Linked DNA regions of Xenopus tropicalis. The protein of the gene in region 2 purifies or fractionates together with the protein of the main gene of each other region. This does not show direct contact. Links are inferred from orthologs where the notes say so. Each region holds a gene or a part of one and is shown on either strand. Other genes may lie near its edges.

The links.
Region 1: the proteins of dapk1 (region 2) and ifi30 purify together in Homo sapiens (affinity purification with mass spectrometry; 3 studies listed by BioGRID and IntAct, counting the BioPlex papers as one, with this or other methods). This does not show direct contact. The link is inferred for Xenopus tropicalis from reciprocal best matches to the Homo sapiens genes DAPK1 and IFI30.

Annotation. Positions count from the first base shown.
Region 1 is NC_030677.2:103,916,599-103,933,128, forward strand, and holds the end of ifi30 (gamma-interferon-inducible lysosomal thiol reductase), read right to left. Parts: intron 15,258-16,530; coding exon 15,063-15,257; intron 14,319-15,062; coding exon 14,244-14,318; intron 12,949-14,243; coding exon 12,853-12,948; intron 11,441-12,852; coding exon 11,288-11,440; intron 8,695-11,287; coding exon 8,626-8,694; intron 8,548-8,625; coding exon 8,476-8,547; 3' UTR 7,526-8,475; downstream 1-7,525. UniProt on the Homo sapiens protein: Lysosomal thiol reductase that can reduce protein disulfide bonds. May facilitate the complete unfolding of proteins destined for lysosomal degradation. Plays an important role in antigen processing.
Region 2 is NC_030677.2:135,327,868-135,344,345, reverse strand, and holds part of dapk1 (death-associated protein kinase 1), read right to left. Parts: intron 14,449-16,478; coding exon 14,403-14,448; intron 12,963-14,402; coding exon 12,873-12,962; intron 10,486-12,872; coding exon 10,393-10,485; intron 6,352-10,392; coding exon 6,232-6,351; intron 4,836-6,231; coding exon 4,737-4,835; intron 4,561-4,736; coding exon 4,462-4,560; intron 3,461-4,461; coding exon 3,362-3,460; intron 2,906-3,361; coding exon 2,708-2,905; intron 2,378-2,707; coding exon 2,180-2,377; intron 1-2,179. UniProt on the Homo sapiens protein: Calcium/calmodulin-dependent serine/threonine kinase involved in multiple cellular signaling pathways that trigger cell survival, apoptosis, and autophagy.

The DNA.
Region 1 (16,530 bases), about 31 Mb from region 2:
TATTGTGGCATTACCCTTACAGGCACAGGGCTTTTCCATGAAAAGTGGCACAACAGTTTTACACTAAAAGGCTAAAATATAAGCTATATTCATTATGGGCTTTACTTGACTTTTAATTCTACATTTGAACACATTGAACACATAAAAGCTTTAAATAAACAATGAAATGTACTGTATACTTATATCTGTTAAGGTGGTCATACATGGGACAATTAAAGCTTGATTACTCCAGACAGATTAGGCATGATGCAATCTGCCATCAATACTGTCTATGTACTGGCACCTCTGAAACAGAAGTCTGTTCATACCTGTGCTTTGTGCCTACCCTTCCTGCTATGGCTATCAGCATTGGTTTCTCTAATTTTCTTTAGGTCTTGTGTGGGAAAATTATCTTTTCGTGCTACATTGTGATGCTGAATGACCAGATTTGTGTTGATCTTGGTATCTATCCACTTTCAACAGACCAACCAATAAGTTACAACACATAGGCCACTGGTCTACTACATTTTCACTGTATAGCATGGTGACCCACTCCACTTCCCTAACTTGTACCCCTTCCAGCAAGCTTTAAAACATATTCTTATGGTAAAAAAAAATAAGGATATTATCACATAAAAGTACTTTGCCTTCACACAGCGTGTGACAAAACACCCTAAACTGCCAAAGGTTGTTTCAGGCTGAACACTGCTGTCTTTTTAATACAGAGAAGACCGTATGCCACAAGCATATTATATATACAGGTATGGGATCCCTTATCCGGAAACCTGTTATATAGATAGTTCCGAAAGACCATCTCCCATAGACTCCATTATAAGCAAATAATTCTAATTTTTAAAAATTATTTATTTTTTCTCTCTAATAATAAAACAGTACCTTGTACTTGATCCCAACTAAGATATAATTAATCCTTATTGGAGGCAAAACAAGCCTATTGGGTTTATTCAATATTTGAATGATTTTTAGCAGACTTTGGACGCTTTGGAGATCCAAATTACAGAAAGATCCATTATCAGGAAAACCCCAGGTCCCAAGCATGCTGGATAACAGGTCCCATACATATATATATATATATATATATATATATATCCATTCTGCAGGAACTACATACATGTACATACTGTGATCATTTGCAGTTACATCATTTGCAGATACATTATGTTGTTACCCAAAATAACATTTCCCCTATGATTACCCTTTCTCAGACAAACAACACATGACACAGCGCATGATTTGCTGGTTGCTGCTGTCACATGTATGGGGAAAAGCATGACTTCTTTAAGAGAAATACTGTATTACCCTAATCCCAATATGTCCCCTTCCTTTACAAGTATAGTGACTGGGAAAACAGATTGTTGAAATCACATTTTACCTTTTTAAAACTGTAATTGCATCAGAGCAGCAGACATATCCTCTGTACTCAGGCTGAAACAAGGGCTGAGCCGAGCATGTCCTTTCTTTCGTCCACAGGAAGTTGTAATAACTGTGAGTGACAGGGGAACTCAGCAATAGCAGTCAAAGTCCCGCCCCATTTCTTTCTGCTCTCAGCTTCAAGCTGTCAAACTGGCTCAGAATCTTTCTGCGTATGATAGTTAGTGGAGGAGCAGCTTTCCCCAAATGCTGCATGTTGCCTTTTCTTAGGACAAGATAAAGTCTTATGACATCTGATTGTTTTTTAGTGGAATATAATGTGTGAGGAATGGTGCTACATTAAAACAAGAAACTGATCAGATTTTACAGTACAGCATGGAGTATCAGAATTTGTAGCATACTGTGTCAACATGTGAGCCTCCAGCTGTCACTGAACTACAACTATTTTTCCAAAATGCTAGGCGCAGGGCTGTCACACTCATTGGTCATGCGCAATCGCTCCTGCTGAATCAGTGCAGAACCTGTAAAAACCTGGGGGAATTCAGTTTGGTGATTGGAGAACAGGGGGAGGTAAAAACAGCTAAATCCCAATGTAATAGGGGGAGTTGACAGCTCTGTAGGTGTTATCTGGTTCTATTCAAAGTCACATGGTTTTAAGGGTCTGGATACCCCAGGTCAGGCCCTGGGATTTGATGAAATCCAAATCCTGAAGAAAAAGGCTGTAATTCTGAATCCCAAACTGATTCCAGTATTCCATGCATCTACGGTCGCCACCTGTCTGGACAGCCCAGTTTATTATAGGGCTGTCTGGGTCAAAACTGCCTGCCCGGTTTTTCCAATGTGGAAAATCGAGCAGGATACCCCAAGATTGACGTGACTGTCTACCCCAAGTTCTGCACCGTCAGTTGTCACAAGGCGTTAGCACAGAACTTGTCAGAAATAACAAACTTGGCCTTCATTACTAACACACACAGTTATAGATTAAAAAAAAATATATATATATATATATATTTTAAGAGTTTTCTACAGTAAAATACTTGGCAGTTGTTTTGGCGTGAAGGGTAGGAGAGTGAGGGCAGGGTTATAATGCAAAAGGGGAGGAAAAATTACAGGGTGGTGCCAGATGGATTGGGCGCAATGAAGCAGAAATGTGGTGAGTTGGGCTGACAGATAATGGGGCAGAAGTTGAGAGGGACAACTTAAAGGCAGGGGTTGGGGGTGGACAGAATGACAAACAATTGCAAATTTATCAGAAAATTCATAGCCAGTAAATTTGTAATACCAGCCTCAGCCATGGCTGGTATTTTACCTTCAAGGCCAGCGAAATAACAGCCAGGCAGAAACCCTGTTTTCATGGGTAGATTTTTATTAGGACTTTGGAAGGCTAATTCTACCCAAACCTGCCTGAAAAAAAAAAAAAAAAAGATTCTCTGACCTGTTGTGCTTTGGCAGGGGGAGCATTTCCAAAAGATAAGCAGCCTGCTCACTACATCTCTCTAAGCCTGATGCTACATTGGGCTGATTCTCAGCCTGCAGAAAAATATGGGCCGAGAATCAGTCTCTATGTTGGCATCAGCCTTGCCTGCACTGCAACCATCATGTTGGTCTGGATGTAGGCACACATGGTGGATATCAGAAAAGCAGAGATGCCAACATGAAACATACATTAATATCCACCATGAGCTACTGAAAGAAAAGCAAGCTGAAGGTTTGAAAATGACCCTCACAGTCCCCTGAATATAAATTTGTACATTAAGGAGACAGAAATACTATACTTTATTATGATACTTTTAATGCAATACAGATACAGACATAGAAAAGCTATGTCACAATCACAGCTATATAGGTTTAAGAGAATAGTGCAGTGCATGCACAGCATGGAGTACAGCAGACGCACTTATACAGACATTTACCCCCGTCATTTGCTTCATCTAGTGTACTGAGTGTAATTACATCCATGGAACATCCATGGGGAAGCACAAGAATATAGTAGTCGCAATATCTCTGTTTCTCTCTCTCTCTGTTTCTCTCTCTCCTGCCGCCTCACAACAGGGAATCCAAGATGGCACCAATAAATCTAAAGCGGAGAGCCAATCTAGCTCACAGGCCTCTTTCTCTCATGCATCTAGGTTCATATGGTGGAACTGCATGTCTCAGGAGGAAGTTTATCACCCCTCTTTAGCAGATCCTGCAGGCAACTTTGTGCAACTTCAGAAAGCCAAAGCAATGCGTAGGCCTTTTCACCAGTGATTGGTATTGTTGCTGGTAGAAAGTCATTTCGGAGTGTTTTTTTTGCCGGTGACTAATTATTGCAGGTGACTAACGCTCTCTGTGGGCCATCAGCCTATCAGTACAGTACATGACAAGCTAACAGAGAATATGACTGATTCTATCTGCACAGCCCTTAAATATATAAGCGCCATCATCAATGCAATGGGAGAATGAACTTATAAATTAGAGACTCCATTAGATGATCGTATCTTGAGGCATAATATACTGGAAGACAGTAATTTTAGCCTACAGGAGGAAGTAGCATGTCTCATGACTTATCCAGAGGAAATGGAGAATAGGTCATAGTACCAAAACGAAAAAGAATTAAGGGCAAACCAGAGGAAGTTGCCCCCCATAATATGAGACTATTTTTGTACTCTCTTTTCTCTACCATCAATCCAGATCTCTCATCTGAGGCCTGGCGGTTTGATCATGCATCTAGAGCACTTGCACCTCTGATACCTGGCTCTGCTAAACTTAGAGATGTTGTGGTGTGTCTACATTACTATAAAAGCAAGAAGTGTATTTCTAATAAAACTTGCAATACCCCCCACATTGAACACCAAGGCCATAAACTTCAGATATTTAATAATATCTCTCCTATCACACTGAAAAAGAGGAGTGACCTGTTACCAAGACATTACACTTTCACTATACAGCATACCGATGGGGTTTCCCCTTCAAACTAATTGCTACAAAAGGAAACAAGCAGTACATACTTCCGTATCTAGACGACAGCCTTCAATTTCTCAAAGACCTTGGGATTCCACCATCAAATCACACACAAGATCCATTGACCAGCGATTCTAGACATTAAGATACGTAGACATCTCGGAGGCTCACCGTCCAAAACAACTTTATCTCCAACCTCACAAACATGAATCCCTATGACCAGTATTGCCTTTATTATGCATCTGAACCCATGACTTTATACATGGTTTATCCCGGTGACTTGGGTGCTTTGTGACTACTGATTCTAGTTCTCCACCTATGTCTGAATGCTCCAGAAGCCTCCTGGACGCTTCCCAGGTAGGCTGTGGATGGCCTCATTTAACCTTGCGGCATACATTTATAGGTCACTATTTCACAGAGACCATAAAACGCTTTGGGAAGACAATGAAAAAGCCTGATGTTGACTCAGATGGAAGTACTATGAAAGTGGAGACAAGCCACATACTTTGACCAGGAACAGGTGGCCCAATACACCCTTGATATTCCCCTCCTGTATATTACGGTCAGTTCTAGATGATCCCCAAATCCCCCAGGCTTGTCTCCAAAAAACCTTTTTCGAATGTATGATTTTGTCAACCCATGAACTAATAATCAACACACCTTTACTGAACTCCAAAAAAATATGTTCCTCAAAGCTGGAATTATGAATATATCCAAATCTCCCATTTTATCAAGAACACTTTTACAAAGCTAGCTTCACCCAAATTATTAACCCTTTTCAAAATACTGTATAACTGGGCTCCCTATATGGGTTCTAATATAAAATATTTACTCTCAGGAACTCTAGGGCATACCCTAAGCACAAATATGTGCTATTTTGGGAAAGAGAGCTCTCATCTAAAATAAGAATTTTGGCTCTTCTAGTTCAGAGAGCACAATTGCACAACCCCCACGACCCATGCCGAAAGTTCCAAATGGCAGGCATCGGGAATGGTATCAGAAAGCCTGCTTCAGGGTAGCCAGAGGTGCAGAATCCCCCCCAACCACTTGTGACAATTTTCCCATCTCTCACTGCAGAGTAAGCAGTAGGAAATTTGCTTTCCCCCCCAAATTGCACCCCCCTCAAGGCACCCTAGGCACCTTGACTACCACGACTTCTGGCCCTGGAGATAAGTATTACTAATTGTAGAAATAAATGTTGAAATCATGGGAAAAATGTATGTTTGGAACCAGTAGGTGTCACTCTTGATTAAAATATTTACATGCTTGACTTTTAAACTCGATTAAGAGTAACGATAAGCAACATTTTTTGCCAGGTTTTGCTGTGAAAAAAACCCTGTAGCCTCCAATGGCTGCAGAAAAAAAAGTGGTCAGTTGACTTCAATGTGTTTTGCAAAATATTGCTGTTTTACAAATTTGTCAGTGAAGGGAAGTGGGTCAGATTTGCTCATCACTAATAAAAAGCCTATATGGCTTGAAACATTGCTGCTTGTGTCCACATTGCTGCGTGTGCTTTAATAAAGGTACTCTATTTAAACTGATTGGAAATACATTGAATACACTACACTCTCTGGTAAGCACTTCAAGAATAAAAGTTGTCATGTTGGCATCTCATCCCATTGCAGACCTTGCTTACATAAGGCAACCACCCAACCAAGTACTAGGCTATCAAGCAACAGAAAGAGAGCCACATTTTTGGACGAAATTAATAAATGCACATGTAGGCAGTTATGTAAAGAGGGAGACCATCCCCAGGATTTAAATCAAACATAAATAGAGTTTCTATGCAAAATCAGGGGTCACCCAAGACCACCTCTCCTCTATAGTAATGCCACTGTCAAAGACCTTGGTTGTCAAAGTGCCCACTGAGGAGTGCTAGAATGAAAACACTGCATAAATAATAGCAGCTGCAGGATACAAAAACAGGCTCATATGATTAAGCCTCTAGTAATAATGGTCATAGGTTGAAAACCTACTGAAACATGTGAATTAGAGCACTAGTACTGAGGAAAGTGGGGGGGGGGGTGCCCCAAATGCATGCGCCTTTGTTTTCTGCTTCACAGTAACTGATGTAGAAATTTCTGTGTGCCTTATATATCATTAGAGATCATGTGCAGTGCTCTTATCTCTATGAAAACCAGCAGCACAGTATTTGTGGGCCTTTGTTCTCCCCCGCCCAAAGGGGGGTTAGAGCAGCGCAAATCACCCTCTGTTGTTGCATGCTCGTTGAGTTACTTGCAGCTGCAAGCATACAGTAGGCCAACCCTCAAATAACCTTTTGGGGCCCCATGCCCAGAAGAGTTAGTGAATAAATGCTGAGGCTAGGAGAAAGGTTGGCAAACAGACATAATTGTGGAGAGTTGATAAAAATGACAGCGGATGGACAAAATGTGAGGGACTGAGGGAACTGAGAAGCATGAATAATGGTAGTGTGGGTAAATAATAGGGGTAAGAGCAGGCTTTAAAGCAAGATGGTGGTGGGTGGCAAAATTGCATAGCAGATTAAATGGCAATCCCACACAGAGGGCGGGTACCACAAAATGTAGTGTCGATAGTGAAAGGGGGGACTTAGAAGCCATGATTGCCAAACAAAATAAGAGTGCAGTAAGGAGGGATTAGAAGCACACACCTTTGATGAGTGGAACAGTTGTGGAAAGATGGGTGGTGTTAGTAGTGGTATGGCTGAGCTGCAGATTCTAGTCCTTTACACCGATTTGGTAGCTTATCTGCCCTACCGATACCAGACCAAAAACTGGCTAGGTGTCAATCAGGCAGGTTTGATTTTTTATTTGGATTGGAAATTGCATTGGCTCATTGATTCGGCCCTTGCTCCGACAGCTCATATCTCCATTGTTAAATTCAATCGTTTTGCTCTTTGCATATCGAGCAAAGATGCGCTCGTTTGGTGATCTGGCCAAACGAGCAAAGATGCGCTTGTTTGGTGATCTGGCCAAACGAGCAAAGCTTATAAGTCCTTCTGTAATATTTGTACAATCCAACATTATTTTAGTTGTCAGCCACCTAGATTTCATAAATGTAAATTCTGCTTACAAGTAATTTAATTTTATCATTCATGATTATTAAAATTAAGGCTCAGTTCTATTGGGGTGCACCAAACAACAAACCAAAATTTTTTTTTACCAGATGGGGTGTAAAAAGGTGCTGTTTTATGGTTTATTTAAAAAAAAAAACAAAAAAAAAAACAGACTGAAACTTAGATTTACTATTCCTTTAATACACCTATTATTAATGAGTAACCATACGGTAAGCAGTAAAGAATTTAAATGCATCTTAATTTCATTTCTCCATTTTCCTTTCACTGAAAACCATGTGTAATTAGAAAAATCTATAAATATGATGAATGTTTCTTTACTTTTCAATAACCTGATTTTCTCCCATTGGTTATCTAGAGTGACAGCTTCTAAGAAGGCTGCAGCCTAATTTTACTGTTGACTAGTTATGGATACCGCCTCTTCCGGTCACTGAAAAGCAGTGAACTTGGAAAGTTTATTTTCTATGCTTTAGACACTTTGGCCTCAATAATTTCCCAGTTAGTTTGTTTGTGTAAAGCCTACAAAACTGATCAAGTCGTCTCCGCCTTCAGGAAAGACTGAGGTAGATCAATTTGTTTTCCTAATTGCTAACACAACTTTCTTTATCTTGCATAAATCTGTAGTGTTGGAAATAAATTACAAGAAGTTGGCACTGGGGTTGTGGCATACTGTGCAGGTGTTTGTGGTTGATGAAACTGGGGATAGGTCTAGATAAAAACAGCTGGTACCCAAATAGTATCAGCAGAAAGCACCCAAGTCTGCCCATAATGTGTACAGGTCAAACCACAACAATGTCAACTAGGTATTCCATTACACTAAAACACATTTAAGCAGATGTGAATTAGTAGTACGTAGCCATTCAGTCACAGTTTGGGCATTGTCATGTCAGGGAACATACACCATTAAAAGGTCTCACCCTGCAACCCTGTATGAAGAAAGGCCTCTAGTGAAATGCAAGGTGCAAACCCAAAATATAGTTATACTGTTGAAAGTACATAAGGAATTGGGAAAAGAAAAAGAAAAAAGGGAAAACAAAAACACACGGTTAGTCTGAAAAGTACATTTGCCCTGGTGTTGGAATAGTTTTCTGTAGGAGCAATTCAGGAGTAATTCAGTTTAGGCAGAGAACATCCCTTTTTAATGGTGTTATTTCACTGTGCAAGCAGGGTTCTGGCTTTGGTCCCTGTTAAGGAAAGGAAAAGAAATGTTTAGAAGCCTTCACAACTTAAAGTGCTAGCTCAGAATAATGGTATTTACTTACTTTGTATGTGTCACAAACAAGGTTAAAGAGAGAACTTTGAGCTTGTGCTTGAAGATCATCAGTGTGCATCTAATAAGGAAAAAACTATTATTAATTTATGATCACATATTTGTGCTTGAGCCTTACCACCAGTATAATTCCAAATTCCCAGCCCTTTGAATGGTTGAAAGTAGCAGTTGCTTACAGGACATGCTGCCTACATGATCATCTGCAGCAATTACTGGGATTGGATGGAATGGAGAGAGCCCAGTGGAGGGATAAAGCAATTTAAAAAAAAATAAAGAGCTTATCTCAAGAAATGTGTAATTTTGTGTAGGGGCCACTTATGTGATTTATTGCCAGCACCAATCAGGAAGTGTTTTGGTGTGTATGGGGACAGAAAAGACTTCTCAAGATCCAACATGTGTGATTCATCAGCCCATTACATTACAGTAAATATATTTTGAGTTCATAACACCACCAATATTATCATCATAAAAGGCCATAGCAAAATGTATTTTTTCAGTCAGGGAAGCCCCTGTGCTAGCTGTCCCCGCATAAAACTTTTCTTCTATCTACAAAGAAATGTTTGAATGGATTCACATAATGTAAATAACTGCCATTGCCAACTTTAACTGAAATGCACGATACTTCTTTCAGAAATTATTTGAACAAAACAGAATATTACAAATACATTACACACAGTGACCAATTTATCAGTAGTTAGCTAAGACTTGGTAAATCATTACCTATACTTTTGTATTTAATTATATATTTTCCAGAGTGGAAAATCCCAAAGCATTATTTAAGGAATTGTTCACCTTTAAATTAGTTTTTAGTATGATGTAGACATGGATATTCTGAGACAATTTGCAAATGATTTTCATTTTTCGGTTATTTAGTTTTTTGTCCAGCAGCTCTCCAGTTTGGAATTTTAGCAGCTATCTGGTTGCTAGGGTCTTGTTCACCTTAGCAACCAGGCAATGGTTTAAATGAGACTGAAATATGAATAGGAGAGGGACTGAATTGTCAGTCTTTTCTCTCTGCATTTTCATTGCATAACAGATTAATGGTGCAGACAGATTTTAGTGCTCATTGCTGCTGCTGAGCCCTAACACCCCATAAAAACTGCTCAAAGCACCTGAACACAATCTGAGTAACAGATATCTTTACCAACTTTGGTGAATGTATTGATTCCACCTTCAGGTTTACCTTTAGTGTGTTAGGCCTATTCTTAACAACTTGGGCAGTGACCCCAGCAGCCAAGCAAGGCTGCAATTTTATTGTTACTTTTCCTTCTATTTAGCCCTTCCTCTATTCATATTCTGGTCTCTCTTTCAAACTACTGCCCGATTGCTTAAAGGAGAAGGAAAGTCTAATAAAGAGTTGCTCTCAAGCTGCAGGCATACCTTCAGTTCTCTCAATAGTGCCCTTAAGTCTCTCCATATTTCACCTGTTCAGAAGCCAAACAGGAAGAAAAAACACTGAGCTGTTTAAAGAAAGTTCCCATAATGCCTCACTTCTGCACAGAGACCCAGACCGATGTACATGCTCAGTTTGTAAGATTTTGCGGAAGCTTCCTGCTGATTGGCTCAGATCCACATTCCTAAGGGGGGGAAGTGAGTTCTTAGCATTCTTGAGGGAGGGGGAAGCAGGAGAGGGGAGAGGGGAGAGAGGAGAGAGCTATCTGTCTCTGGCAGAGGAAAACAGACACAACAAATCTTTTGACAGGAAGTCAGTTCAGCGTTTCTGCGAGTGCTTAAGACCAATTGTAAATTGTCTCAGCATAGCACTCACTACATCACACTAAAAGTTATTTTGAAGGTGAACAACCCCTTTAAAAACCAAGTGGGGAAAATTATTAAACTGCTAGGATTTCCTAGTTCAGTTTCTTATAACACCAGTTTCTTAAAAGTTGCTCAAAAAACAAATTGGACATGCTTCTTTTAATGAACCGACATGTACTGTGCCATCACCGACAGGATGTATAATGTACAGTCCTTTTTATGTGATCAGGGCACTACAACATTATCATCGGCAAAGGTACAATTTATAGCTTTCATTTGCTCTTCCAAATCTATTTGGTATATGATGTGATATGGAAACACGGATAGGTAAGCACAAACAGGTTTTTTTGTGACACACTTCCTTGTATGCTGTTGCACAATGCAGGAAAAACTGTGGGAGAAATGATATATTATTTACGGCTTGAAAAAAGGAGTGGATGATTCCGAAACATTATTGTTGCTGCTAGTCTGAACTCTGTCTAACCTGAAATGTGAGTATATAAAGGGAGTGCTGTGCTTCTGTTTGATGGTGTGGATCTCCTCTGCTGGAGAACAAAAGCTATATAATTACCAGAATAAATAGCAAATGGACAGTTGTGACCAGTTCACTCATTATATTCCAAAATGCTTGGTTAGGCGTGTTAATAATGAGCGGGCTCCACACATGGTTTCAACTGCCAGCAATAATTTTTCTTAACAAAATTCACTGTGCTTACAACAAAATAATTGACAACTTGACTATTACGTCCAAATATGTCCATTTTAATCTAGAAATAAAGTATCAATGTCAGTATATGACTTGTGGAAAAGCAAGAAACCTGTACAGTATTTTAAAAAAATATATGCATATCTTAACAGCACAGCCACCTCGATTATGTATGGAAGTTATCACTTACCCCATCAATGACAATCCAGGGCACATAATTGTGAGGAGGACTGAGTCCTTTGGTTTTTTGAGCATTTTCGTGCATAAGCTTGTTCCCCAAATCCCCATTTACACACTCCAATACAGTTTTAAGTGGTAACTCAGGTGCATAAACTGCAAGGCACTGCAAGAAGAGGAAATTAAAATTAAATTAAAATGCATGCAGTTTAACAAACTGGATATCTGCTTCCAGGGAATTACTGGTCTCTTCTAATCAGAATACACATATAAATAATTTTCTTTGTGTAGACCTACAATGTATATAGTTTTATAGTGCTTCACTGAAATAACCTTGGAACGTGGGGAAGGCTAGCCACTCCAGATCAAGCAGGTTTTAGTATCTAGTCTAGGATATGCCGTCATTGGTTGAAAATCTCAACAGAGGATACAGTCCAGTATTTTTCAGTGTATAAATAGATTATATTATTGTTTTATTAATATATATATATATATATATATTTAATTATTATATATTATGTAATAAAAATATAAAATTATTAAAAATCATGTACCTCACACTTCATGTGTACATTAGTTTGCAAGGTTGCACTGAATATTGTGCATGTTTGTTTATCCTTCACTTCACTTTCATTTGTAGCACTAAAAATATACATAATACCTGAATAGACTGCATAGATTAATAGATAAATTAATTTTTAAGCACCCCAACTATGACAAAATTAAAAAAAACTCTAGTGGATATTTAATAATCTTTCATATATAATTTACTATTTTTCTTCTTCACAGTTGTTTATCATGTAAGTTCCTTAATCCAGGAGTTCCCAACCACGGGGCCGTGCAGGGCCAAGGGCTGTGCTGAACCGGTCTGTCTGTGCTGAACCTTGGCCCATTTAATTGCAGTGAAACAAGCTGAGATCTCTCACTAATTTTGTATTATGGTGAGCTGTATTATATTTTATCATGTAATAATATTTATAAAAATAAAGTACATTATAAAATGTAAATAATTACATTTACATTATTTATGTAATAATTAAATTGACCTATTGTAACTGACTGATTTAAAAAAGGAAAGGAAATTTTCAATTCATTACTGACAAACAGCATGGCTGAGCTAGCAGAGGGCAAAAGCACAAAAACAATTTGTAAATAAAAAACAAATTACAACTTTGTGGATTTTATAATAGCAACAGTTCTGCCAATTTCATTTACTACCTTCCCTATCACTGTTTTCTTATAAATCATGCAACAATTATTAAGTATGCCCTGAAGGCATTTATAATGTTTTTCAAAAAGCACTAAGGGGTGCAATAAGGATTCCCTTTGTGCTCATCTAACAAGCACTTATGTGCCTCCCCCTCTTATAATGATAGCAATGATATTCTTCATGCAGATGCAGGTCCTACAGAGATTCTGCAAGGTGGGAAAACAGTGAATCACAGAGCATTGCACCCATTTTTTGCACTTTGCACACTTCTTAGATAGCTATGAATAACACCTAATGTTTCAGACGCAAAGCACATATAAACTGTTTGCATTATGCCAAATGTCTTAGTAAATGCATTTAATACTTACGGATTCCAAAGATTTTGTGATGTTGTTGGAAGACTCCATGCAAAAAATGATTGGAAAATATTTGTATATATCATCAAGAATATGGATAAGACAGGCCTGTGCATCAATAAAAAATTGTTAGATTGTTGGAGTTTTTGCAGTTCTAAAAAGAGTTGGGTACCTACAGCATGCAGTTTAGGTTGGGATCAGGTAGGTAGCAGGTAGAGGGGTGGCTGCAGGCCCAGACTGACAAAACTGTACATTCTGGCAAATGTCAGAGGGGCTGTTGTAAGATGCCATACACACTTACTATTGGTCCTGTGGGGGGCTGTTTGGCCCTCTATGTACTTTAAATACTAGGGCCTGTTTTAAATCTCCAGTTCGGACCTGGTGGCAGGTCCAAGTGGATCTGGTACAGCATCCTAGTCTTACCATGAAATGCCAGCACACCACTCTTTCCCTTCCATGAGCTCTACCTTTATGCTCCCTTTTAACATTGAACACAGACATATAATAACTTGAGTTGTTATAGCTAAGGGTGATAAACAGCCACCAATCCCCACAGGTCCTTTGGGGGATAACAAAATTACAAAGATATCAGAATGGCTGAAAAGAACCCCACATCTTCATCTATAAAACTATCCACAAGACTATGGAGAGTGAAAACATCAAATTACCCCCTACAAGTGACTTATATGGCATACAGTTCTGATATAATGCCAATAAAAGAGAGAGGTAATCCACAGTCACTGGCAGAGTTGAAACAATCCTATTGAGGTGGAAGTCTCTATAGCCTGTGTTATGTTAGGCGAGTGTATAGTATGGGGCATTCCCCTCACCCTTCTAAGAGCAAAGTTTGTGATAGGTAAAAAGGTGTCCTTTTTCAGTGTTATGTTTCAGCTGTCCTAGTGACTGTGGATTACCTCTCTCCTATCTCTTTTATTGGCATTATATCAGAACTGTATGTCATATAAGTCACTTGGGTGATGGTGATTTATTATGTGTATGAAGAAGTTTTATTTTTATTCAAAGTAATCTGACATTTTCACTCTCCATAGTCTTGTGGATATTTTTACAGATAGAGGAAGTGAAAGGAGGAAATAAAACTAAGAACTGAAAATGTATGAATTCACCCTATAGGTGAATTAGTTAAAATCGTTAATGAAATCTTTGGTGTTGAAATATTGATCTTAAGGATGTGATCCAAATTAATTTTATGTGTGATCCAAATTAATTTTATATGAATTGTGGGGTAATAAATAGAGTATTATCTATATGGTGTGTGGTTCTTTTCGGCCATTCTGATATCTTTATAGACATATATTAGCTTTCAAACTGTATTTATAACCAACAGCAAATTACACACATATCCATTACACATCACACAAATAAATGTAAGAATGGTCTCAAACCTCCATCATGTTTCCCAGACATTCCTCAGGTCCATGTTGGCAATCAAAAACCCATTTACCAGTGATGTTTGTTTCCTATTAAATAAAAATGTTCAAATTATGTATAAGCTGAAATTTGTTCGACCTCAGATATATTAAAGTGGACCTGTCACCCAGACATAAAAAGCTGTATAATAAAAGCCCTTTTCAAATTAAATATGAAACCCAAAATCATTTTTTTTATTACCACATCCATACCCATTATAAAAGCATTTTAAAATCCCAGCTGTCAATCATATACTGCCTGCCCCGCCTCTATGCCTTAGGCATAGAGGTGGGGCAGACTGTTACTTTCACTTTCAATTCAGAACTTCTTAGATGTTACTGCACTCCTCACATTCCCCCTCCTTTCGCACCATGTAATTGTGTAACCAGTGCATGGACATGGGCATCAGCCCCCCCCCCATACTGGCACAGAAACAAGATTTTGGCAGGATGCAATGCCTGCTTTGATAACAGTGTCCACAAAATGGCCCCTGCCTGCTTGCTGCAATTGTGAATTCCAAGGCTGAAGAAAATAAGATTAAAATAATTTAAATAGTGTAAGTAAAGTTTATTTTGCTTGACAAACACAATAGAAAACAATTTGAAATTATTTTTTAAGGTGACAGGTCCGCTTTAAATGGTAAGTCTTTCTTCCCAGGCTTTTTTTTAAACCCCACATGTCCTCATAAATTGCTGCCTTTTTTGTTTTAGATCTTTTAATCACTCTTGCTTTGTTGTTTAGCAATAAATGGGATTGTTGCCCCATTCATGTTAAAATAACCTATCAAAGCCTACCTGTGCATTCCCATAAGGAACTAATGTCACATTGATTATTTCAGCGAGCATCAGCCACGATGGAAAAAGTTGCCGGACAAGGAAACCTCTACAACCTCCACAGAGACTTTCATAGAATAAATCTATCTGAATAGCTGGTTCAGAAGACTTCTTCAAATCACGATTAGAGTAGAATTCCAAGCATTGTTTTTCCACCTGGTAAAATAATAAAAATATTTATGTTATGTAAGAAAAAGTACTTAATGCTGGCAATGAATATACAGCAATAGCCTTCAATTCAAGGTCTGAAAAAGAAAACGGCAAATGCCACAGCACCAAATAACAGCTCAAGCGGTGTTTCATTAATATTTGATTGTGCAGTTTTTAAGGGTCTTTAGCCACAATTGTGGCACATAGTGGTTTTGTTAAAAATATCAAGGCGGGTAGAGCAGAAGAGCAGTTAAAAGAGGTAGACTCATAGAAGGACTTGTGAATGTGTTGAAAACATGGAGCCAATTTGCCACTGCCTTATCCCAGCAGCCAATCAGCAATTGCCATTGCCTTAATCCCTGCAACCAATCGGCAGTTAACTCTGACTGTTTTACTGTTAGAATTAAACAAAGAAAATGTTTGAATGTATGCAGTAGGTAACTGCATCACTTAAGTAAATGTTGCTCAGAGTTATTACCAAACAGGGGGAAATTTTGCACTAGTACTGTAACCCATACTACTTAATTGGCAGTTTGTGAACCTTGGCTGCATGGTTCATTAAAGGAAAACTATACCCACAAACAATATTGGTCTCTATAAAAATGTATTGCATAAAACAGCTCATATGTAAATTCTTAACTAAATGATACAAATGCAGAACATAGGCATGTTAGTAATTATGGATAATACCGTTGAAGCATTCCCATATAAGAGATTTTCTATTATAGCTCCTTGCCTGTAATTTTTACTAAACAAAAGATTTTAGTACAAATATATTAAAAACTGCCTGAAAATCACATTTCTTTCTGGCACTGCTCTACTATTTGGTAAATTCTCGCTGCTTAGTATACTATAAATCTCGGAGACTTTTATCACCACTTTTGCTAAATGAGGGCCAAAATCGACAGGTACTGTATTGTTGGCCATATATATATGCTGGGCGGGCCAAATGCTATATATATGCTTTTATTTGGGGCAAACGCCCAAAGCATTTTATATGACAGGTAGTAGATGCTTTGTTGAAACTGCCACCTGAGCTGGCATACATGGCCATGCTCAATAGTTTGTGCTTATTGAACTATTTAATGCATTAGTTATCACTATACTTGATTAAAGCCTATTTCATCAGACATAATATTGGAATAATAACAGCACATTTAGTAACACAGCACATGCTTTATATCCAACCTGAAAACAAGGCTAAAAAATGATACCAACCCTCTCTCACTGATATGTACTGGCTCTGCCTGAATGCAAACCATGTAAAACATAATCAAAA
Region 2 (16,478 bases):
GATAGACTGCACAAAATAGATAATATTTCTAATATAGTTAGTAAGGCAAAAATGTGATCTCTAAAGGCTGGAATGAGCAGATGTCTAACATAATAGCCAGAACTCTACTTCCTACTCTCAGCTCTCTAACCTCTTAGTTAGTCAGTGAATTTGGGGGGGGGGGGGGGGGGGCACATGGGACATAACTGTTCAGTTTGTGAGCAAGCAGTTCAGATTCAAATGCAAACTGACTGAACAGCAAAATATGCTCCCCCCCTCAAGTCACTAATTGGTTACTGAAATATACATATTTCTGCTGCTAACTTACTAGGACAGTCAGTATGTCAGTTTTTATTGTGGCAGCACTGAAATTGTAGGTATGTGTAAAGAAAAATGGAGAGAGAGTTTATGAGGCTGGTTTCCATATAAATAGTGAACAGGAAGGAGATTGTGGCGATAGTGCTTGGTCTTAGTTGTAAACCTCAGACACCTGCTGTTCCAATAAAAGCAGCAGGGAAAACCAGCCTAGCAGAAATCCAGGTGCTGGGACACTTAGGATATTTTACTGGGGAAATGAAACTTTAAAACAAAGATGTTCTGTTACAAGTGCAACCTTGGGAAAGTTAACAGTTATTTATTAGTACATGTGCAAAGGATGCGTTTCATGTGTGACCGTAGCGCAAAGAGTATACCTGTTAAACAGAATTAGAACTTCTCTGTTTTTATTCTATGGTATCAATATAATAATTTAAAACCCAATTATTACACGCTCATTTAGAATCACTCTTACCACCTGGTCATGAGCTGTTGTCATTCTGCTATGTCCCTAATGTGTGGACACCGGTTCCTTTGTCCTTTAGTCTACTGAGAAGCCTAAGCATTGTCACTGGTCTGTGTTTACAGCAATCTGTGTCTGGCCTCATCATATTGATGTAATATGTAAAATAAATTGGTTTAAAGGCAGGCCTTCTGTAATTGGTGGGCCTGCAAAATGACACTTGCCTGTGAAGGGCATTTAGGGGAAATAACCCCATCAGACCAGCTCATTAGTTTTATAATTCTCTGTGGCTATATGAGCAACTGTGACTGATACCCACTCAGTATAAATTCAGCTGGAGAGAGGAATAACCAATTAAAATGAAAATAATTAATATGTCATTCTGATAAGTAATATCAGCATAATAAGCACAAAGTGGGTTTAGCATGGCAGTCTGTGACATGAAAAAAACTGTTCACTAACCCATCTGCCATTTTTAATAAGAACTGTGGAAAAGCCAAGCCCCCATATGTCATAAAACACAAGGGGCAGATTTATTATCCGGTGTAAAAAAGGCAACAAAATTACCATGTTATCGCCAGTCTTTGCGTCAAATCTGGTGTTCCAATGTTGTAAAATAAAACATACCTTGATAAATGCACCATTTATTTAACACAGCTATTTACAACATTTTTTTCAGTACATTTTGTTTTATGCAGCATAATAAATAGCCCCTAAGTTTGCCTAGGGTAGCAGTTATCCATAGAAACCAATAAGATTGCTTTTGCACAAGTGAACAGTAAATGCTATGTACTGATTGGCTACTATAAATTACTGTAACTGTAAACTTAGTTGTTTTATTACATAATGCCAGAAGTCCCAAAATGTTTGGGATTTGCCAGAAGATACAGGCTGTAAGAAAACTGCTGCACAGGGCTTTCTAGCAGCCAACAGGGCTCCACTCAGCCACTTGTGCTGGATTTTTTACATGGTGCAATGTTTAAAGCGGTGCGACTGCCCCAGATAAAAGTGTTTTGTGCATGAGCATTAAGGGGTGCAATTTTGGCACATGAAGCAATCATAAATGACTCCTACAATGTTTAACGTCCCTACAACTAATATTTGGAACCATAAAAACACAAATCCAGTTTGACACATACACTGTAGCTAAAATTAAGTTACCTACATTCTGGAAATGAAAAATGTTATTTAACATGCAGAGCACAGACTAAGCTCCATAACTCCGTCTCTGCTGTATTTAGCACATAGATGATGGGATTAATAAGCACCTTAGAGTGCGTTATCAGCATGACCGTTCAAAAACATCATGAAAATTATCAATAATAATTTTCTTCGCATTTAAAGATAATTTTCTTTTGTCTTCATGCAGCCATTCATTCTATTACATATTTCCTTTTATATGTGCCATTATCTGTCACTCACCTTGTTAGTTATATCCAAATTACATCTTGCCTCACACAGTGCCATTACAATAGGAAGATTCCCATCTTTGCAGGCAACATGCAGAGGTGTGTTACCATGGCGATCCTGGAAGTCTACAAAGCATCCATGGATGATGAGCGTTTTCACTACTTCCATCTGACACCGTCTCACTGCAAGGTGGAGTGCTATGTGCCCATCCTGCAAGGGCAGAGGAAGCCAATCAGCTTTATGCAACATTCATTCTTATAGGGGAACTATATCTGGGAAGCCTTTAACAGCATTCCTGACTATAAAAGTCTTTTGATAACGTAAATGACAGATAGACAGGCAAGTAAAATTATTTCCTTCTGCCTCTATTTATTTAGATAAAATCATGCTGGCACTTTATTCACATCTCACTAATATCAGCAAAGTAACAATGAAGGATAACAGGTTACTGGCTACAGTGTTTAAGGAGGCAGAGAGATTTCAATAACATAAAGGGTGTCTGTCATTTCTAATGCCATGAGTCATTCATCCATTGCTCACCTTGTCTGTTGCATCAAGGTCGCCTCCATGGTCAACCAAGCATTCCACAATATCGTGGTACCCTCTTGCTGCTGCTGTCAGAATGGGTGTTTCCCCTTCCCTGTTGCGAATGTTGACATTGCAGCCAGCCTGGCACAGAGCTTTTGCCACTGGGTAGTAACCATGCCAAGCAGCACAATGCAGAGGGGTTTCTTCCTCCTGCAAACCAATAATTCTTTATAAGAGCACAACTGTTCTTGTAATTAGTATTTTTTAGAAGTCATCTAGATCCAAATGTTGAGCAGAATTTTAAATGTATAGTACTCTAAATCTGTGGAACATGTGATTCCTTTTGGGATTCCAAATTCCTTTCCAGTTTAGTAATCACTGTGCCATCTGCAGAACCCTGCAATATTTCACTTATATTGCAGACAGAGGCAACCCTGATTAACTGTCTCATTGCTAGGTTGCGTTTGAATCTGTTTTTATTGCTACCTAGCTAATCAGGTCTTGAAAGTCTTACTATCATAGGGGCAACTGATCACAAACATTCTGCACCTATTTTTTTTAATGTACAGAAGTACTGGCAGAAAGGTCCCCCCTTTTTGACTAAATAGGATGTTCTTTATAGCAGCTTTTAGAACCAGCAAGAAAGCACAAATCAATACACCATACCTTATCCTGGATGTCTGGATGTGATCCAATGCTGCACAAGTATTGAATAACTTCAGCATGTCCATAACGGGCCGCCACGTGAAGTGCTGTTTCTCCTGACTAGAAGCACATAGGTGTTACTTACGCACAAAGGAACCATACTGTAAATCAGGGCTGTCCAACTAATGGTCTGTGGACCAGATGTGTCCCCCTAAAGGATTTTATGGCCCCCCGTCTTCACAATATGACTCCACAGACTTCACAATATGATATCACTATTTTTAATCTGGCCCTCCAACATGCCGTATGAGCTAAAATTGGCCCACAAAATGTAATAAGTTGGACAGCACTGCTGTAAATCATTAAACTGGTATGCCCAATAGACTTTAAGGCACTAAAAGTAGGGCAAAACTAAATCTGTGTGAATTATGTGCCCACAGAGAAAATCTAGAAACTGCAACTAAGTATTTCACATATTACCTGCATTTATTAGATATTACCAGCCCACAAATAGGGCAACATACTGACTGCATGTTTATCATTTCAGATGGTATATTTACCTAGTATTTGGGTATTCAAATACATTTTACAGAATGAAACCATATCTCTAGCTCCCTCTTAAACACAAATTCCTTGAAAAAGAATAGAAACTAGATTTGTTAATAAAGATTTAATTCTTACAAAAATGGCATAGTAGTTACCAGTCCTGGGGTTATAAAACTGTAGATGGTATGGGAATGCTAGATATGATAAGCTACATGCACTGCATGTAGTTATTCGCCAGTGTAGTCAGTCTGCACAGTTGCCCTATTGTCCACATGAATTAGACACAGGGAAAAGTGGTAAACTACAGGCCCACGGGCCACATGATGCCATATTATCATAAAGGCATCACAAGGCCCATGACTAGGGTGGCAGCTTTAGGTGGGATGGCCCTTGGGTATCTATATGATGAAGAAAAAAAAAAAAACCCCTCCAAAAACAACCAACTAGAGCTGAATACTTGCTGCTAAATCCAGTGGTAGAGCTGAGGGGGAGGGTTACCTAGGTGTTAGTTTTGTAATCCAACCCCTTCTATCCACCTATAGCCCCTGCAGCCCTCCTTCTATACAAAACCTTACCTTATCTTTAATATCTAAAGGACAGTTATTCTGATGTAGAAATTTCAGAGTCTCAACGTGACCATGACGAGAAGCCCAGTAAATTGCATTGGACCCAGCCTACACACAAAGAGTGACAATTAACAACAGGATATATTACATCATATAAAAGAATCTTTTTACATAAGCTGTTATAACTTTTATGTTTCTCTTTGTCTCTGGCTGGTTCATAAAAGTGAACCTATTCAACAGCTGATGGTATTCTACCCAAATATTACTCAGAGGGTAATACACACCTTATCTTGTACATCAATCTGTGCGCCACGCTTTATGAGCAGTTCAAGGATCTGAATATTCCCACAGCCAGCAGCAATTAACAAGGGAGGGGTGCCATGCTGAAAAATACAGACATAATAAAAAGGATACACAGAATGAATGGCTTCATTATCATCTCCCATTCTCCTTTCATTAACAAGAAAGAGTAAGAATATTCTGCTTATATTGTAGTGTTTCTGATGAACAGCACACTGTCGGGCAGATTTACTAAAACTAACTTTTCTCGTTTTTTTTTTTTTTTTATATTAAAATTTGAATAAACTCATTTCCTTTGAATGTCTGACATTTACTAAAATGTCTGAACTGAAAAAGTCAGTGCGGCAAAAAGTTGCAGACTATGACGTTTTCGAACTGTTGCGCCAAAACCTCTACTTTTTCGTACTGCTGCACAAAAAACCAGGATCAAAAATCCAAAAACCTCTAAAGTTTCAAAGCAAAGAAAGATCCATCAGGAAAGGAAAGGGATGCCTGCCAATGAATTCTACCTGATCTCTGCAAGTTTTTGCTGCTTAATTGTTGGACTTGGATTTTTAGCCATATGACTCATAGTAAATCTTTAAAAAGCTGTGACTTTTTTTTCTGCAACTTTACAATCTCAAAAAAAAAAATAAAAAAATCAGAACATTAGTGAATTGCTCCCTGTAAGGGAGTATAGTATACTAACTATACTCCACTATGCAAACATTTCCTATTAAACAGTAGAGAAAATCTACCAGAGAACTTCCTATATCCAGAATTTACAATTATTTCCTTTTCACTAAAATAATTTGTCCTGGAAATCTAATGTCTCCTCTGCTTCTTAATATCTTGGGTCCTGTCACAATATGGAAGCTTTTTCCATATATTGGACTTTTCCTATAGGGATATTTATGCTTGAATAACCTCTGCTGCTCTAGTAAGTGGAACTGCATGTTTCTGACATCCATAGCTGTTAATTGATTAAATTTGTTGCTCTGCTTTTATGCCAAACTGAAAGGCTTATGACATCATCGATATATATTTTAATTAAACTCTCTACGATGAAAAGAAAATCCTGCACACCACCTTTGTAACTTGTGATTTATTATGCTTCTTGCTGGATTAATTATGTGAAATGAATAACGTGCTGTTCAGTTTTGAGGCTCGGAAGAAAGTGAGGGATGCCAACACATCACTTCTTTGTCCGAGTCGTACGGTGAAAAATGGCAAGTCAGCCGCTGAGAGCAGCACAGATGGGAAAACCCAAGCTTGTGTTAATGATCTGCTGCGCAGAGGGATTCTCAATGTGTCAGGGCAATACAGTTGAAAGAATGAGACAATAAAACCCACGAAGGAGTTACTGACTGCTGTGTTACAAATACCAAGGGGCGATAGAAACAGGAAGTAATTGTGCATGCAATATTAACCCACACTTAGCTGGACTGGTCATATTTCATACCGGTGCATTTCTAATTACAGCTCCATATGCAGCATTACCTTGTTTGGCTGGTTCACATCATAGTTTGACAAAGACCCAAAAAGATGCTGCAAACCAGGAACGTTATCGTCATTTATGGCATGAATGATGGCTTTCATTACAAAAGAGTCCTCCTCATCCTGCAACCAACAAAAAAGGCACATTATAATAGCAGTTACTTTCCAAGAAACAAAGCCTGTAGGTATATTTTGTGGAACTTATAAAAACATATTGGTACAGGTAACTTGTGTCAAGGCATGACCTACCATTTTCACTAAAAGGAATGCTGTTGGAGGATATTTACTCTGTGGTAGTGCTTGGGAGATATATGTTCAAACCCTCTCAACCAAGAGTTTATAGAGCTATCAATTCATGAAACCTGTCATTTTTTCATCACCTGCTTTCACAAGTGTAACCCTTTTTGTTTAGCAAATGTCAGAATGTTCCATTGTGCTTTTTTTTTTTTATTCCTGTCAGTCTGATCATATCCTGGAAGTCATTCAGAAGCACCCCAGACAATTCAGCTGTCTTCTCTATGAGATGAGGCTATATAGGGACAGCAAGGAAGCAGCCAAAGAAAGCAGTTTGTTCTGGTCACTTAAGCTTAATACAATGACGTTGCTTTTTAGTGTTGTGGGAACAGCTAGCCTGACGCACAGCTGCGGTTTAGGTTCTGGTTTCTATGCTTTGAAATTTTTCAAGAAATAATTAGAAACACACAAAAGTTTAACAGTTTAACCTGAAGCTAAATGCATGTTTGTATTACTGAATGCCGAGCTTAAATTCACTTGGCCACATTTTGAATAGGTTCCAGTTTGAACACATTTTTTATTTTGACTACTTCATTCTTCTACACTAGTCTTCTGTTTGCTCTTTTTTTGTAAATATTGTTCATGTGTCTTTGTCGTTTTATTTGCGGTGTGTGACCAACGTGCACCCATCTTTATGTGCTTGTAGTACAGATATGGGAGGAAGGGCTGATTACAGGTACAAGTGTAGTAGACAAATTGGAAAACAATGCACCTTATCAGTTACTGTCACAAATCCAGACACTAGTGAAGGGCTGCCTATACTCTGAACAAAGTAAAACCAATGTAAGAAACTATTGTTGGAAATATTGGGGTTGTTAAAAAGTATTTTGTTAGACTGTCTTTTTAAACCATATAAAATAAATCTCTTATTCTTGTGCACTAGAATTTTATGGGCTTATTTATCAATTTTCGAGTTTGTCTTTCAAAATCAAATAAACTTGCATATCGAATGCTCGCTTATTTATTAATAAGGAAAACTCATTTGAATAAAAAACGCAAATAATTAGAATTTTTCGAGTTTACAAACTCAAAAAAGTCGAGTTTGAAAATATGGCTTGACTCTGCCTAGAATGAAATTCCCATTGACTACTATAGAAACTCGCAATCTTTTAGATGGCTATTTTTTCCATTTGAGTTTTTTGCACTTAATAAATATGAGACATTCGAGTTTCCGAAACATAACTTGAAATTGAGGATTTTTAGCACAGGCCAATTAGGGTAATGGTGTTTGCTACAAGATACACCTCAAATCCCAGCTAATAAAAGTTCAGTAAGGACTGAGATTAGGGGGCACATTCATGAAATCACAAGTTTGAATCCCGAATGGGAAAAATTCAGATTGGATATGATAATTTCTTAAGATTGCAAATATCACGAAAATGCTTACGAAAAAAACGTAATAGTCACAATAATATCGTATCGGCGATCCGAAATTTTCGTACCGAACGATTGCAAACAGCGGGAAAACCTTTCCGACTTTGATCCTTCTGTGCACGATTTTGGAAGCCTCCCATAGGAATCAATGGCACTCTGCAGCTCCAACCTGGCCCAAGGAAAGTCACGATAACGAAGCTTGAATGAATCCGAAACTTTCGCAAAGTACGAAAAAGTCGCGCAAGGTACGGAAAAGTTTCGGAAAATACGCTCGGCGCGTTCGTGGATTAGTAAATGTGGCCCTTGGTGTGAACTCTTATCAGATGCCACAGATATTATTGGAACTATGACTGAAGTGCTAATACTGCAGTGCTTTCCTAGTAACCTATTTATGAGCTACGGGGCCTCCTGAACAAAGGGGATCGGGGACTTAAACCGAAAATGTATGACAGCTACTGCTATAAAAGGTGTGAGATTTTCAGTTTTCAGTTGTTCCTAAAACAATATTCCATTGGTTTGTATGTGTCTTGAAGTTTTAGGACGACTGCAGATATCAAGGAACCCCTTGCATTTAGCTTTCCTTTCTAATAAGCATTAAAACATAGCACGTGCAAGCTGTTACCTGTTATTCATAATGGAAAGGCTATAACACTGATCTCCTCACACTCCATCTGCGGGCAACTTAAAAAGGCTCATTTTCCTGCCAACCAGAAATTGAGCCAGATGCCAGATGCTCAAAATTATATTTATTCTTCTTTGTAAATTTAACACATGCCACACTCTAGTCCATTACTGCAACAGCACATTCAAGGTGTGATTACCTTCTCCGGAAATGGCTTGAACCTTGCATGTGAAGTATGCAGAGTATCTCAGCATTCAAAGGTTAATACATCCACATTGGTTCTTTTTGCTGCCTTTCTGCTATTGGATGTGGGGTTTCATCAAGATAATGGTGCTAGGTTTGTGGAGTTTGCATGTTCTCATAGAGTGAGTTTTATCTCGGTACTCCTTTTTCCTCCCACAATTAGGCAGAAACTAACTGTATACAACATATAAAAATAATACATTCCATATACATTAAAGAGAGGTGTCTATTTTAATTAGCAAACTTCAAAGTTCTGACTCTTCCCTGCTTTGTGCAGCCACATTAGGAATGATCTTCTATATATTTGCATAAAAATAAATACCCATAGAACCCTGCATATAAGTGCACGGCCTTGGAGAAAACAGGACTCTATAAATGCCAAACACACACATTCTGCTATTTTGCTTCTGTCCTGCAGTGCTTAGTAGAACATTATCCATGCCACAACCTCATGCCTGTCAGTGCTTAGAGGCAGTTTATGGGCCAGACCACATGTCAGATGGCATAACATTCTCCAGTCCCAGCATGGTTCTGTATTGTCTGTGTTCTGTCTGCAGAAGGAGATTACATGCACTTGACAGCATGTAATCAGTGTCAAAGAAGCTTTGTACTGCAACATGGAAAATGCTATTTATGTCAGAAGGGAAGCGGTCAAATAACGAAGTGTGTTTAATTACAGTCTTTCCGGGTAAATTCATGGCACCTTCTTTGTTTAAAGTAGTTGCTCATTTCTATGCATTACCCACATTACAATTAGCAAAAAAGGGTTGTTTTGCTGTATAATTGGTGCATTTTTTTTACAGAAAAAACATGTATAGCAACCTAAAGAGCCATCTGGCAAGGTATATTTTATATGCTACACCAAATAATATAAATAAAGTGATGCCATAATTACTGTGCAACTATAGGAAACTGAGGTAGAACATGTATAAAATTCTGCCCATTTAGCACTGACCCAACTGTACGACTACAACTTCCAGCTACCAGTGACAGCTAGAGAGCTGCATAACACACTGCTATAAGAAGTTACCTGTATGAAAACATCAAGCCGCATATTAACTCATCATTAACCTCAAACACAGAACATTTTTTTAACATAATAAGTTAACCACAAACTACCACTTAAGTAAAATAATTAAGTTAAAGGAAAAAAATGATGCTTCTATGCATTTAAAGTGACATACAAACAAATTATGAAACACTTCCTGTATTGCTAAGCAGCAGGCTTATTTCTTTCTTTATACCTATAATGGAATTCCTAGAGATGAATGATATCAACATCTTAAAGCAGAATTCATTTGAGACTACATAGATGGATCAACTGAAGAGGATTCAGCATAAATGCTAACACTGCTTAAAAACTTGCTGGTTGCATATTTGCATATTTGTCTCTTTGCTCTGCTAAACTCAATGCCCATAAATGTCAAGGCAACCCTTTACAAAGGATAATGGCTTTATTATGTGTTACTGTTGCAGAACAGGTGCTTTCTAACTGAATAAAGCCCTGCTATTATTTCCTTATATGATTTATGTCCTACAGGTTTAGTAGAGAGCAAGCCAGGAAGTTTGTTATTTATAAAATGCGCAGAATCTGTAGGCAAACAGTGGAACCTAAGCTGTTATTAACTTACCAGTGTGTCATCACTCCTAGCAATACTCATGTTGCTCCTGGACAAGAAGGATCTTGACAGTCTTTGGCACAGGGATATCAAACGGACAGATTGCTTTAAAAAAAAAAAAAAAAACAGAATAGATTTTGCTAGTCATTTCTCATCAATTACAAAACACAAATAAGAAAAGCTTCAATGCTTTTTTCCCAAAAGAAATGGCTATTTCTGTTTTTAACAAAACAGGCGAAAAAAAAAGAAACTCCCTGATATATAGGTAAAGATTCAAGGAAAACATAATTTGCTTTTTGCAATATACAAGCTTTGCAAAATCCCACTTTGTACCAATGCCTGGTGCATGTAATAAAACTTCTCACTTGAAAAAAGTTGCAAGCCCTAGAGAATATGTAATGTGTGCTGTTAAAGTCAAAATGAGATAGTTGTGTATTAAACAATAATAAATAATAATAAATAATAACAATAATAAATAAACACTGCAAACTGCATATTTCCATTCATAATTTTTATTATGATTGTGATCTAAAGAACAAGGAAATGGAACATACTTTCTGCATTTTATCGCCTCCTCATGGTGCCCTCCTGAACCACTGTATAAAAATAATAGTTCTGCCCCTGAATTCCAACCAGAAAATGTAGAGACTGAAGTTCTAGAAGTGATGTAGCCAAGATGTCAATCACCAAGAACACTATAGATCTATGCATTCTCTGGCTGTGATTCAGGCCCAGACTGGCAATCTGTCGATTCTGGTAAATGCTGCTGGGCTGCTGTAAAATGTCATAGAAAGTCACTATTTTGTGGGCTGGTGTGGGAAAGCGTGGGCCTCTGTGTACTTGAAATGCCAGGGCCTGTTTTTTATCCCAGGTCATACCTGCTGTAAAAGATGGGCATAATAGCAAAAATTATGTTCACAAAGGGACCAACAGGGAATGTAATAAAGCACATAATTTTTATGAAGTTACATATTTTGTTATGCGCTTAATACAATAAGCATGTTTAGTCCTGTGGTGTGGAACACTGTGCATGCTCCATACCTAGGGTGTATAAGTGAGCAGGGAGGGAACATCATTAAAGTGAGGCTGTTGTAAAGTGGTCTTTATATATATAATAAAGGGACATTTACTGGAATCATTATCAGTCTGTTTGGAAGGAAAGCAGAAAAAACCGAATGCATTATATATAGTTTTCCTAGCCACTGAAAAAAAGTCAGTATTGAGCTTTAGGTTTCCTTGCCTTTTTATACAACCCCCAGTATTTCTATGCTATTTGTTGCAAATGTCTACATTACCAATCCAATATAAACAACAATGAAATGTACAATCTTAGATCTCAAGTGGCAAATAAGTGGCTAAGTACCTTTGCAGTTTTGCAATACCTTGAAATAAATGCTAATATGCACAAGCTGTAAGAGCTGTTTGCACAAAGGTAAAAGTGTTTGCATTTGGCTAATTCTTTAATAGAATGGCTTTTATTATATTCCACAATAATGGTTTTAGGTAGCTAGATGCTATATTTAAAGTGATCACCCCTGTACTGTTTTATGTAACTAACTGAGAGGGAAAAAAAGATAGTGGTTTGTAGAGTGTTCCATCTAAAGGTGGCCACACACGTGGCGATTTGCAATCTTTAGTGCGACCATCGGTCACACAAAAGATGGTACAATCAGCCACAAACTGTTCAGGGCTGAAACGGCAGATAAGGAGGTAGAAACAACAGGATTTCTACCTCCTTCTGCCAATTCAGCGCTGAAGGCAGATTTTGTTCAGGCACCTTCTATGGCGCCCGATCAAAATCCTTTAACCGGCCCGATCGGCAAGTCGACCGATATCAGCAGCTTCCTGTGATATCGGTCGACTTGCCATACACGCACCGAATATCGTACGAAACGAGGTTTCGTACGATATTATCGGTGCGTGTATGGCCAGCTTTAGGTTAAGGCTAATGCCCCACAAAGAGTTAAGTTACTCGTGATAAATTTCTACCGCGGGCAACTAGTCTCTCTGAAATGCCTTTCCACAAGCAGCAAAGTGAATCACAGATGGAAAGGCATATGCATTGCTTCATTTTCTGAAGTTGCCTGCCGGAAGAAACTTTGCACGACTTTGGAAGAACGAAATTACGCGTATGTCTTTCCAATGGCGATTCACTTTGTTGCTGGTGAAAAGGCATTTTGGAGGGATCAGTTGCCAGCTGCAGCAGAGATTTATTTCTGGCAATTAATCTCCCTATGGGACATTAGCCTAATGTTTTTCTTTTATGTTTAAATTACCGTTGCGTGCACAGATGCAGTGTTATTCTTTGTATTCTATATATAAATATACATTATACAAAATAATTTATAAACAATAAATCATATTGTATAAAATAAAAGCAGAAGCAAACTATGTTTTTCTGGTGCCTGCTGTTTCCACTGTGTATTGCAATAAAAGCAACTCTCACAACAATGGGCATTCTACCTACGGAGCACTTCGAAGAATACACTTACTTTCCATTTTCTGCGAGCAGCAAACTTCTTAAACTTCTCCATATTGACTGCAGAGGCTTTCCTGCTCAGCGCTTGCTGAGTATCTTTTGGCTGAAACAAGTTCACAGACAATTAGAAGAAATTAACTCGGGGGTGGGTGTTTTGCAAAGGTGCAAAAAAAACAAAACAAAAAAAAGCTGCATTCATAAGGGAAATAATACCATTCTGTGGGTACTATTGTAAATACTTGCAAGGAAAGCAGCAAGACCTCTACCACAGTGGAGGACTTTAAATGGAATGAAAGGTTTGCAATTTATGAATTTTATTTTCTCACTGCTCAGTTCACAAATGGGGCAACTGGGAAAGGAATCTAGGGCAGTTATTGCCATGAGCTATGATTTAATATGGAGCTTCAGGGGCCCAGGTAAACAAAATAAGTGTCAGGGATTTTCCAGTTTGTTAATATAAAATCCACCTGGAAAATCCCTTCATGATTAGATACACAGCTTTTAAAGATGTGGATTTTTTATGAACTGCCTACGTACTGGCGAAGAAAATGGTGCAATAATGCAACAGACCATAGAGTAAATACAGTTACACTGCAATTTAAAAGAAGCCACAATAATATATATACCAGTATATAAAATTAACAAAAGTGCATTATGCAGTGCCATATATCCTTATGCTGGTCTCTTTTACATCACAGAGTAAAAAGAGAAATGCGGCTCTTTTAATAACAAACATCATAAAATGAAACTATAAACCTATAAACAGATGATAAATGGCAATAAGACAAAATGAGAAAGAAATAACTAACTTGGACATATACTTTCTTTTGGAGAAAGCAAATCACCCTACGATCTTCAGGAAGAAGAGTAGGTCATTCTCCATTAACATAACAGAGTAGGGCCACATTACTAGACTAAACTAAGTATTAGTCCACCAGCTATATAATTTTACCTTTACGTAAAGTTTTTAAGATTTGGGAAGAAACTGACAAGCCAGCCTGGGACAAGCTTGCATCATTCTGTTTTGTTATATATTAAGAAACAGGGAGGGTTTGTTCTGTGTCCATAAACAGACCCAGGGGCCTTTGAGGGCCAAATTGGCATAAATAATTCAATATTTCACCATAGAAGATGTGAAAAACCCCAGAGGTAGCACTAATGCTTATAGTGGAAAAGTGAGAGGCAAAGTACACATACCAGGGGTGTCACTGTGCTTTAACTGAAAATAATACTACATTTATGCACTGTAGATTTTATAGATTTTGGTTAGTTCAGGCCCACTGTTTAGTCTTGCACTTCACTATATAAAATGTCATGTTCCTCTAAAACCATTTTTATAAAAATCAATAATATTTATCAAAATAAAAAAATCCAGTTCACCGCATGCAGAAAAATATTAATACTGTACTGGAGCTACAGGCCAGTAGCAGCCAGCAGAGGGTATTTTTAATACAGAACCTGGATTGGGCTATATACTGCACTGATTTCCACAGAACTAAAAATGCACATTATTTTAAACAAATAAAATACATAAGAACTGTACCTTAATCCAAGGGTGGTACAAACTGTCTTGAATGGTCATCCTTTTTCTTTTTAGGAAAATGAAAACATTGAGTTAATTATTGGGTGTATTACTGGTTTCATTTATTATTATCTATATACAATACTGTCATTGTTTCCTAAGTGTTACACAGGAAGTCAGTGCAAACAGCACAACACTAACAGGTGTACAAATTATTATTTAGGTCTCATTTGTTCCCTTTAAACCTATGGCACATGATTTTAGTCCCTTTGGCACCCGCATCTTTACCAGGTCTGGACACGGTAATGTTTTTATAGAGAACATTTGAATATATATATATATATATATATATATATATATATATATATATATATTATATATTATATATATATATATATATATATATATATATATATATATATATATATATATATATAGACAAAATAAACAAAGGGTTAAGGTTTCTTCCTTTCTCTCAAGCAGTTCTGTCCCAGATTACAGCTAAGATTCTAACTATATTTAGAACAATGCATTCAGAACAGATCCTATCTGAAACCCAATGTTTACAATACTGAGCATTAGCAGGGTTCATTAGCAGAGCAACTCAGAAAAAAACACTGAGCAAGGCAAAGGAAATGACACAATTATTTTCCAGCCATTGCAAGTGGCTGCAAGAGATTTAAATGCTAAAATATCTCCACAGAGTTCAACCACTGCAAATACCTTACAAACAGTGTTCCCTGGATCTGAAGCAACACTGCAGACTGTCCTGCTTTCAAGTGCCAGTTCTAGATCACTGCATACCTACCAACATTTGAAAAATGCAAAGAGGGACAAAAAAATATGCGCATGACAAACATTTTTTGACCACGCCCATCTTTGTGACCACAACACTTAAATACCACTCCCATTTTACAAAATTTGGCAGGTTATTTAAAGTTTGAACACATTTCTGGGGGTTTTGGGGTCTTGTTTTATGTGTTATTACAGTTTTGCTAAAAAAGGTGAAATTTCCCATTAAGCTGCAATCTCAGTTCCCCCAAGAGACCTATTTATCTTATACAACTGTATCTAAGTGCAGGTGTCACTTGTTAACTTTCTGTGCTCTCTGCCAAAAGCTACTTTTTAATTAAGTTTAGAGTTCAGTGCAGGAGATCAATAGAGGCAGGTACAAAATGCTTAGAAAGGTATTTGCAGTTTATTTACCATATCAGTGATAAAAATATTAACTACCAATATAATGCACATTGCCTATTGTTTTATAGTGATTTGTTCTACTGCTCATATCATCCGATGCAATTTCTATTTTGTATAGTAACAATACTGAGTAAAAACTTACTGCTGGTGAAGTTATTGGAACTTATGTGGCTGATTAGCCAATAAAATATATATGCAGGTTGGGTAATATTAAATGAAGATGCCATACAAAAATGTTTGGAGCAAATGTGCAACCTGTCGGCCACAAAAAATGGCATGTCCTATGGGCCCCCAGCGGCAAAATCTAGCCAAACATGTTTAATGAGCCCATTTCCACTAAGTTTAATATTCTTTTTAGCACAACACACTAAACTAACTAACTAACTATAATAGTTATACATCCTGCCCTTCTCCTATCAGATGAACACAGGGACATATTGTGCTTCCAGCATTTGTACCCATTTATAAATTGCTTAAAGAACATTAATGCTTTATGAGAAAAAAATATAATAAATAATAAAAGCAAATGCACAGCAGGCAAGAAGCATTACATTTCATGGAAAGAATTATTGACTTAAAACAAATAGCACCACTGCAATAGTGCTTTATTTATTGTGTTTAGAAGGTAAATAGGATTATAAAAAGTATATAATCTACGTTTAAATGAGCAGATTTTCACACTATTTTAACAGAAATATCAAAGTGGTGCAAATTTTAGAAAATAAAGTGAATTTGACCAAGTATACAGAGCTGTCATTATAGGATACTTGCCGTATATCCAAATATACGTGTAGGCAAATATAATATCACTATAGTAATAGCAAAAGAAATACAGGTATGGGATCCGTTATCTGGAAACCTGTTATCTAAAAAGCTTTGAATTGCAGGAAGGCCCATCTG